Linked DNA regions of Oryctolagus cuniculus. The protein of the gene in region 2 binds, or shares a complex with, the protein of the main gene of each other region. Links are inferred from orthologs where the notes say so. Each region holds a gene or a part of one and is shown on either strand. Other genes may lie near its edges.

Evidence for each region. Proteins that work in one complex are often made in the same cells at the same time.
Region 1: USP39 (region 2) and LSM5 share a complex: the UniProt entries of both Homo sapiens proteins name them as parts of the U4/U6-U5 tri-snRNP complex. The link is inferred for Oryctolagus cuniculus from reciprocal best matches to the Homo sapiens genes USP39 and LSM5.

The regions. Positions count from the first base shown.
Region 1 is NC_091447.1:23,533,050-23,537,342, reverse strand, and holds the start of LSM5 (U6 snRNA-associated Sm-like protein LSm5), read left to right. Parts: upstream 1-1,478; 5' UTR 1,479-1,590; coding exon 1,591-1,636; intron 1,637-2,741; coding exon 2,742-2,837; intron 2,838-3,118; coding exon 3,119-3,146; intron 3,147-4,107; coding exon 4,108-4,180; intron 4,181-4,293. UniProt on the Homo sapiens protein: Plays a role in pre-mRNA splicing as component of the U4/U6-U5 tri-snRNP complex that is involved in spliceosome assembly, and as component of the precatalytic spliceosome (spliceosome B complex).
Region 2 is NC_091433.1:117,024,909-117,028,560, forward strand, and holds part of USP39 (ubiquitin carboxyl-terminal hydrolase 39), read right to left. Parts: intron 3,390-3,652; coding exon 3,164-3,389; intron 517-3,163; coding exon 439-516; intron 1-438.

The DNA.
Region 1 (4,293 bases), on a different chromosome or scaffold from region 2:
CTTTGTGGCCTCCCATGTTTAGACTGTTTGAGTTCCTAGGATACAAATGTAAAATAGACAAAGGCAGAGAATTTGCTATTATTTTCAAAACAGAAACGTAAAAGTATGTTTTCTAAGTGTGATGATATTAACACATAACTTAGACTGACATCTGGTGATAGCCTTAGATAATACTTTGTTGAATAAGTAGTAAATAAGCTTTCAATAAACTACAGAGTTTTAGATACAGCAAGGATGATAAATTAAGAAAGTAGCAACAAGTTAAAAGGAAAAAGCTATTATAAATCCTCAGTATAAAACAAAATTTTACATTTAAAAAAAAATGTGTAAACCATTTTGAAAAAAAAAGATTTACTTATTTATTTGAAAGGCAGAACTACAGAGAGGAAGAGGCACTATCCACTGGTTCACTCCCCAGATGACCACAAGGGTTGGAGCTGTGCTGATCCGAACCCAGGAGCCAGGAGCTTCTTCCAGGTCTCCCACAAAGGTGCAGGGCCCAAGGACTTGGGCCATCTTCTACTGCTTTCCCAGGCCACAGCAGAGAGCTGGATTGGAAGAGGAGCAGTTGGTCTTGAACCGGAGTCCATATGGGATGTCGGCATTGTAGGCAGCCTTTACCTGCTACGCCACAGCGCTGGCCCCTCTTTTACTTTTTTTTTTTTTTTTTTTTGACAGGCAGAGTGGACAGTGAGAGAGAGAGACAGAGAAAGGTCTTCCTTTATCCGTTGGTTCACCCCTTAATGGCCGCTGCTGCCAGCGCACTGCGGCAGGTGCACCACGCTGATCTGAAGCCAGGAGCCAGGTGCTTCTCCTGGTCTCCCATGCTGGTGCAGGGCCCAAGCACTTGGGCCATACTCCACTGCACTCCCTGGCCACAGCAGAGAGCTGGACTGGAAGAGGAGCAACCGGGACAGAAGCCTCAAGAAAAGGAATGTTTTTGGGGCCGGTGCTGTGGCACACTAGGTTAATCCTCCGCCTGCAGTGCTGGCATCCCATAAGGGCACCAGTTGTATTCCCAGATGCTCCTCTTCCGATCCAGCTCTCTGCTATGGCCTGGGATAGCAGTGGAAGATGGTCCAAGTCCTTGGGCCCCTGCACCGGCGTGGGAGACCCAGGGAAGGCTCCTGGCTCCTGGCTTCGGATCGGCCCAGCTCCGGCCGTTGGGGCCATTTGGGGAGTGAACCAGCGGACGGAAGACCTCTCTCTGTCTCTCTCACTGTAACTCTGTCAAAGAGTGAATTGGTGGCGGGAAATACTGATTTTTACTAGTCTTTATAAAGACAATTTTATGGGAAAACAAGCCAAAAGTTTCCTTATGCGCTGTCCTCTCGGTCGGAGGACGAACTCCTTCAGGAGGTTAGCAATCTTCAGCGTCTCTCCGAAGCCTGGGAACGAATCTGCAGGGCAGCACCCCAGGACTCCCACTCCCCAGCAAGGCAGCGCGCGGGCGCCGCCCACGTGGAGCACGCCGGCCGCCCGCTCGGCCTGCGATTGGTCGAGCCTGCCCGGCCGCGGGCAAAGGCGCAGGCGCGCTCTTTTAAAGTCACCGTGGAACGTCGATGGACGCAGGCCACTTCCGGCGTAGCCATGGCGGCTAACGCTACTACGAACCCCTCGCAGCTGCTGCCGCTAGGTAATGGTTTTCCTGTGAGGGAGCTGGGGCGGGAGGCTGGGGTTCAGGACTGGGGGCCGCGGGGTTGCGGCCGAGGCACCCCTGGCTGGTAGCGGGCCTATGTGTGGGGCCGAGCGTTTCCCCTCCGCGGCTCGCGCCGGCTCCCGAGCTCCTGCGCGCCAGGCCGCTGCTGCGATGTAACGTGCTCCTGCCCCTGGAGGCAGCTCCTCGGACTCCCCCGGAACGAACCGTGGGCGGGAGAGGGCCGCACTGGGCGAGCGCACCGTCGGCCGTGTTTGTTGGGAGCGCTGCGGCGCCGTGTCCGGAGTGGCATTTGGGATCCCCAGATGGGGTTCACCCTGTTGTGTGTCTGGGAGTTGAGCGGGAAGCAGCGCGCTGTGGAACGAGCCTTAGAGGAGGAATCTGGAAACTAGCCCTGTTTGCCATTCATTCATTCATTCATCCATCCATTCAGTAAGAGCCCGTGTTCTTCCTGCGTGCTAGTCCACAGCGACCTTAAACCACAGCCATCGCTCCCGAAGGGTACACAAGCCAGTGGAGGAGACAGTACTGGACAAGTAAACCTTGTGCCCCCCGTGCCAGGCTGGCCAGAGGTGCTGAAGCTGCCCCCAGCACCGCGGGGCTTCACTGGCGAGGGAGGAGGTGACAGGAGGCTCCCGCGACGACGGTCAGCGGCCTCTGACATTGTGTAGCCGGCGAGGAGTGGTTGCGTTGACGGACTTCAGTGATTAGGCTCGTGGAAAGCCCCGTAAATGCCCGTCCCTGTCCACTGAAGATCCAGCGATGGGCGAAAATGAGCACAGTGTCCGGGCTCGTGGCGCTTAAGAGTCTGGGGGGATGTGTTTGTGTCCCTAAATTAATCACGTGATCTGGAATAAAGATAAAGCCACAATCATGATAGATTGCTGCACAGAAAGGAGAAGTGGAAAGGCTTCTGATTAAGTAGTGGGAGCGCAGAGGTTTGCATTTTAAGATCCGAGGTTACCAAAGGGGGATGTTCTTCCTAGTTTAATTTTCACTGAATTTGGCAAGTAACAAATGCCAGCGTGCACTCGAGTATGTGCTAAAATGATGAATGGGTAAAATAATCTTTTTGCTCACGCAGAGCTTGTGGATAAATGTATAGGATCCAGAATTCACATTGTGATGAAGAGTGATAAGGAAATTGTTGGCACCCTTCTTGGCTTCGATGACTTCGTCAGTATCCTTTTAAAACGTGGTGCTGTGGCTTTTTCCTGTTTATTTAATAACAGAACCGTAGACAGTGTGTTTCTGGGTGTTAACGATAAAAGTCAGTTCATCTCAGGGCACTTGTGATGGTGTTTTCAGAGGTGAGTATACTGGAAGAAGGTCACATTCCTACCAACAGTCAGCCTTTTTATTATGAGCCTTTGTGTTAAATATTATCATTACAACTGAATGAAAGCAGAAACCAGAGTTGTTTCAACCTGGAGTGTTTATTTCCTTAACACCACCTTTCAGATATGGTATTGGAAGATGTCACTGAATTGTGAGTAGTGCTAAAAATGACAGAACTCGGCTCTTTTTCAAATTCAGGACATTTTAAGTACTGTTTAGTCAGCAAAATGGAAGTAGAGGCAACTTTTATTTACTAATGCTTGTAAAAGTTATGTAATTGTTGCTGAATTGCTAGGAAATTAGTGGAGACAAAGCTTGAAGGTAACAGATGTTAACGTGCAGGGATTTTAAGGCTCAGGTCATATCAAGGACCTGATGATGAAAACATTTAACTATATAATGTAAAATGTAAGTGATAAGTATTAGTTACATAGTAGTTTAGTGGGTAGAAATCAGTAGTAATACAAAATGTTAAAGAGTGAGTCTACTAAATATTTTATATTTGATCTTGGCAGGTTCCACCTTTTTTTTTTTTTTTTTTGAAGATAAGTCTCATGGCTGTGAATCTTTTTTAAAGCTTTATTTATTCAAAAGCCAGGTTACAGAGAGAAAGAAAGAGAGGGAAGGAGGGAGATCCTCCATTCGCTGGTTTACTCCCCCAAAGGGCTGCAATGCCAGGGCTGGGCCAGGCTGAAGCCAGGAGCCATGAGCTTTCCCCAGGTCTCCCACATCTGTTCAGGGGTTCAAGCACTTGGTCCACCCTCTGTTGCCTCCCCAGGCACATCAGCAGGGAGCTGGACTGGAAGTGGAGCAGCCAGGACTCAAACCAGTGCCTGTATGGGATGCAGCACTGCAGGCAGCAGTTTAACTTGCTGAGCCACAGTGCCAGCCCCCTTGGCTATGGATCTTATTTATATCCATTGGTCTACTCTTGCTTTTGATGAAGAGTGTACATTACCCAGTGGATAACTTTTATCTCTGAAAATCACCTTTATAATTGCTGAACTTTCGTTTATACAAACATTACCTTTTTAGAGAGAGAAGGTGTTTCTAAAATGCTGCCTTTGGTTACCACCATTTATCCTGACTTTCTGTTTTATCACTTCATTTAGTGAAATCACACCGGAAGGAAGAAGGATCACTAAATTAGATCAGATTTTGCTAAATGGAAATAATATAACAATGGTAAGACACGTTAAAACTGTTTCTGTGGGACAGGGCTTACAGACCTAACTAGTAATGTTGCCGGTTGCTTCACTCATGCCGTGGCTTGGTGGTGCTTAGGGTGGGAAAGAGAT
Region 2 (3,652 bases):
CATCAGGCACTAACCTTTGAAGGAAACACTGGCTTCCTAGAGTTCTTCCCAAAATGAGATGTTGCAAAAGTCTGAGCCAGATCCTTGAGTCTCCCTTTCTCTGGCCTCCTATATCAATATTCTTTATATATATATTCCTATCATCCACTATGGGGCCCTCGTCAGGGCCTGTGACATGATATCTGGGTGTTCAGCATCCAAAACTGAGCTAAAAAAATTTATTTTTTTTACAATGTTGGCCTGCCTCAAGAATTTCATTACATTATGAAAAAGACTAACATAAGGCCTATTCAGGAAGAAAATTTAGCCTGTGTGTACGACAGATACCCTCCCCCCCTGCCCCCACAAGATAAACAGTTAAGAACAAAAGAATGGAAAGTTGCAAAGTTTTTTAAAGGGAGCTAACAAGAGCTTCTTTGTACAAGCAGCATGACTTACTCTTCTTTTTCTTCTTTGTGCCCCCAAGAGCTGAGTGCAGAGCATTCAGGAACCAAGACAGGAAGTCGACTCCATCGCCTGGAAAAAAGGAAAGGTGGCACACACTGAGGCTGGCAGTCATTCAGGAAACCCACACCACGACTCCGTGACTCCATTCCTGGATTTGCTCCTTCCTCTCTGGCCACATCACCCTGGTCCTGTTTATCCTCCTGTCTGAACACTTACTGCTGGCGCTCTTCAAGGTCAAGCTGTCGCTCTTCCAATCTTTCCTCTCTCACCAGGCTCTCTGAGCCACACTAGCATGTTCAATTTTCATCTCTAACCCAAATTGAGTCTCATTACCCAGGGACGGCCAAAACCAATGACCAACAACTTCTCCAGGGTAAGCTCAGGCTTCTGTGTTCTTTTCTCTAGCTGACAAAGATTCCTGTCTCAAATGGGAGAAATTATTTGCAAATTATGCAACTGATAAAGGATTAATACCAGAATCTAAAAAGAGATCAAGAAATTCCACAACAACAAAACAAACTTACTTAAGAGATGGGCCAGTGACTTAAAGTGACATTTTTCTTTTTCTTTCTTTTTTTTTTTTTTTTTTTTTTTTTAACAGGCAGAGTGAACAGTAAGAGAGAGACAGAGAGAAAGGTCTTCCTTTGCTGTTGGTTCACCCTCCAATGGCTGCCGCGGCTGGCGCGCTGCGGCCGGCGCACCGCGCTGATCCGATGGCAGGAGCCAGGTACTTCTCCTGGTCTCCCATGGGGTGCAGGGCCCAAGTACTTGGGCCATCCTCCACTGCATTCATGGCCACAGCAGAGAGCTGGCCTGGAAGAGGGGCAACCGGGACAGAATCCGGCGCCCCGACCGCGACCAGAACCCGGTGTGCCAGCGCCGCAAGGCAGAGGATTAGCCTAGTGAGCCGCGGCGCCGGCCTAAAGTGACATTTTTCAAAAGTGGGAATCCAAATGGCCAACAGACACATGTTCAGGATCACTAGCCATCAGGGAAACGCGAATCAAACCACAATGAGGTTTCACCTCACCTGGGTTAGAATGGTTTTCATACAAAAACCAACAAGCAACAAATGCGGTAAGGATGTGGGGGAAAGGGTACCTGAATCCACTGTTTGTGGGAAGGCAAACTGGCTAAAGCCACCATGGAAGACAGTTCGGAGACACCTCAGAAATCTGAATATAGCCCTACCATACGACCCAGCCATCCCACTCCTTGGAATTTACCCAAGGGAAATAAAATCGACAAATAAAAGAGCTATCTGCACCTCCATGTTTATTGCAGCTCAATTCACAATAGCTTAGACATGGAATCAACCTAAATGCCTGTCAACAAGACTGGATAAAGAAATTATGGGATATATACTCTATGGGATATATACACTATGTTTGTGTGACAACATAATTATCATGCCCAACAATGCTGTGACAGGAGAAACTGGGTAAGCTTATTCTTTGGCCACCCTGATTTTCCAACCAATGATGTTTTAGCTTTCCAGTGTTGTCGAAAGCTGGGCAACTCCAGCATCCACCCTTAGGCCAGGAGTCATCTACGGAGCACTGTGAATGCAGTGCTGGCCCATCAACAGCTCAGAAAAAATCTCTCCACAAAACTTTCATACCTGATGCAGCCTTAATATGAAAAGCCGGGACTATGGACAGAACTGGTCCAGGTGTTGCGTCATGGCAAGTTAAGCTGCCAACTACAGAGCCAGCACCCCATACGGACGCCAGTTCAAGTCCTAGCTGCTCTACTTCTGATCCAGCTCCCTGCTGATGCATAGGGGAAAGCAGCAGAGGACGGCCCAAGTGCTTAGACCACTGTACTCATGTGCAAGACCCAGAAGCAGCTCCTGGCTTCAGACAGGCCCAACCCTAGCTGCTGCGGCAGTTTGGAGAGTGAACCAGTGTATGGCAGACCTCTCTCTGTCTCTCCCTCTCTCTCTGTAACTCTGCTTTTCAAATAAATAGATAAATCTTAAAAAAAAAAAAAAAAAGGTTAATACCCTAGCCATGCTAGCTGTTGGAATTCAATGGTCCTACACAGCTTGGTTGTCACCTGGTCACAGGGCAAGGTGTTCTCAGAGGAACATTTTACTGCTATCTTGTAAACTCCCAAACACCATCAATAGCCATGCCATAACAAAAAGGGTCTTCAGAAAGTTCACAGATGATGCATATTATGAAAACATCATACAGATTTCAAATATTTTTGCATCCAAATAAATGTATTGCTTAGTTCAATCAGAGAGAAGTGAGGAACCTAACCATGCTGTACATCAGTCACTCATTTGGCTACTATCAAGATTCACTATTAAAAGTGAAAATAGGGGTCAGTGCTGTGGCGTAGCAGGTAAAGCGGCCCCCTGCAGTGCCAACATCGCATATGGGCTCCTGTTCAAGTCCTGGCTGCTCCACTTCTGATCCAGCTCTAGCTATGGCCTGGGAAGGCAGAAAATGGCCCAAGTCCTTGGGCCCCTGTACCAGTGTGGGAGACCCAGAAGAAGCTCCTGGCTTCAGATTGGCTCAGCTCCAGCCGTTGAGGCCATTTAGGGAATGAACCAGCAGATGGAAGACCTTTCTCTCTGTCTCTCCCTCTCTTTGTCTGTAACTTTACCTCTCAAATAAATAAATGAATCTTTAAAAAAAAAAAAAGTGAATAAATTTGTTCATTAAACTAGTTTTGTTGTCAAAGCAACAGGAGTGACCGTTTTTACCTTGTTTGGTGATCTGAAAAGTCTTCTTGCTGCAAAGGACAACAGCCTGAAGCATCTCGTGGGGAGAGACATGTGCCTTGAAATTTCGGGGATTCCAGAGCTTTCTCATCAGCTCCCCAAAACGCTGGACCAATAAGAACATGATATCCCCTGGAGGTCGCTTGATGTTCTTATAATTGTCTTCTTCCAAGAAGTAATTCCGGAGAGGAGGAACATTAGATAGTGCCTGCAAATAGAATATTCCAATTAATCCAAAGCCCTCTGGAGAATCCTATTCAGAACATCCTTCCCACTGAATCTGGTAGGAAGCACAGTTCTATGAAGACTGTGCTGATGTGGGTATCACAAAGGAATTTGTAAAAAGGTATTCAAATCTCCAAGCATTGAACAATTTATTTAATAATATCCTTTCTTTGGGGCCGGCGCTGTGGTGCAGTGGGTTAAAGCCCTGGTCTGAAGTGCCAGCATCCCTTATGGGTGCCAGTTCTA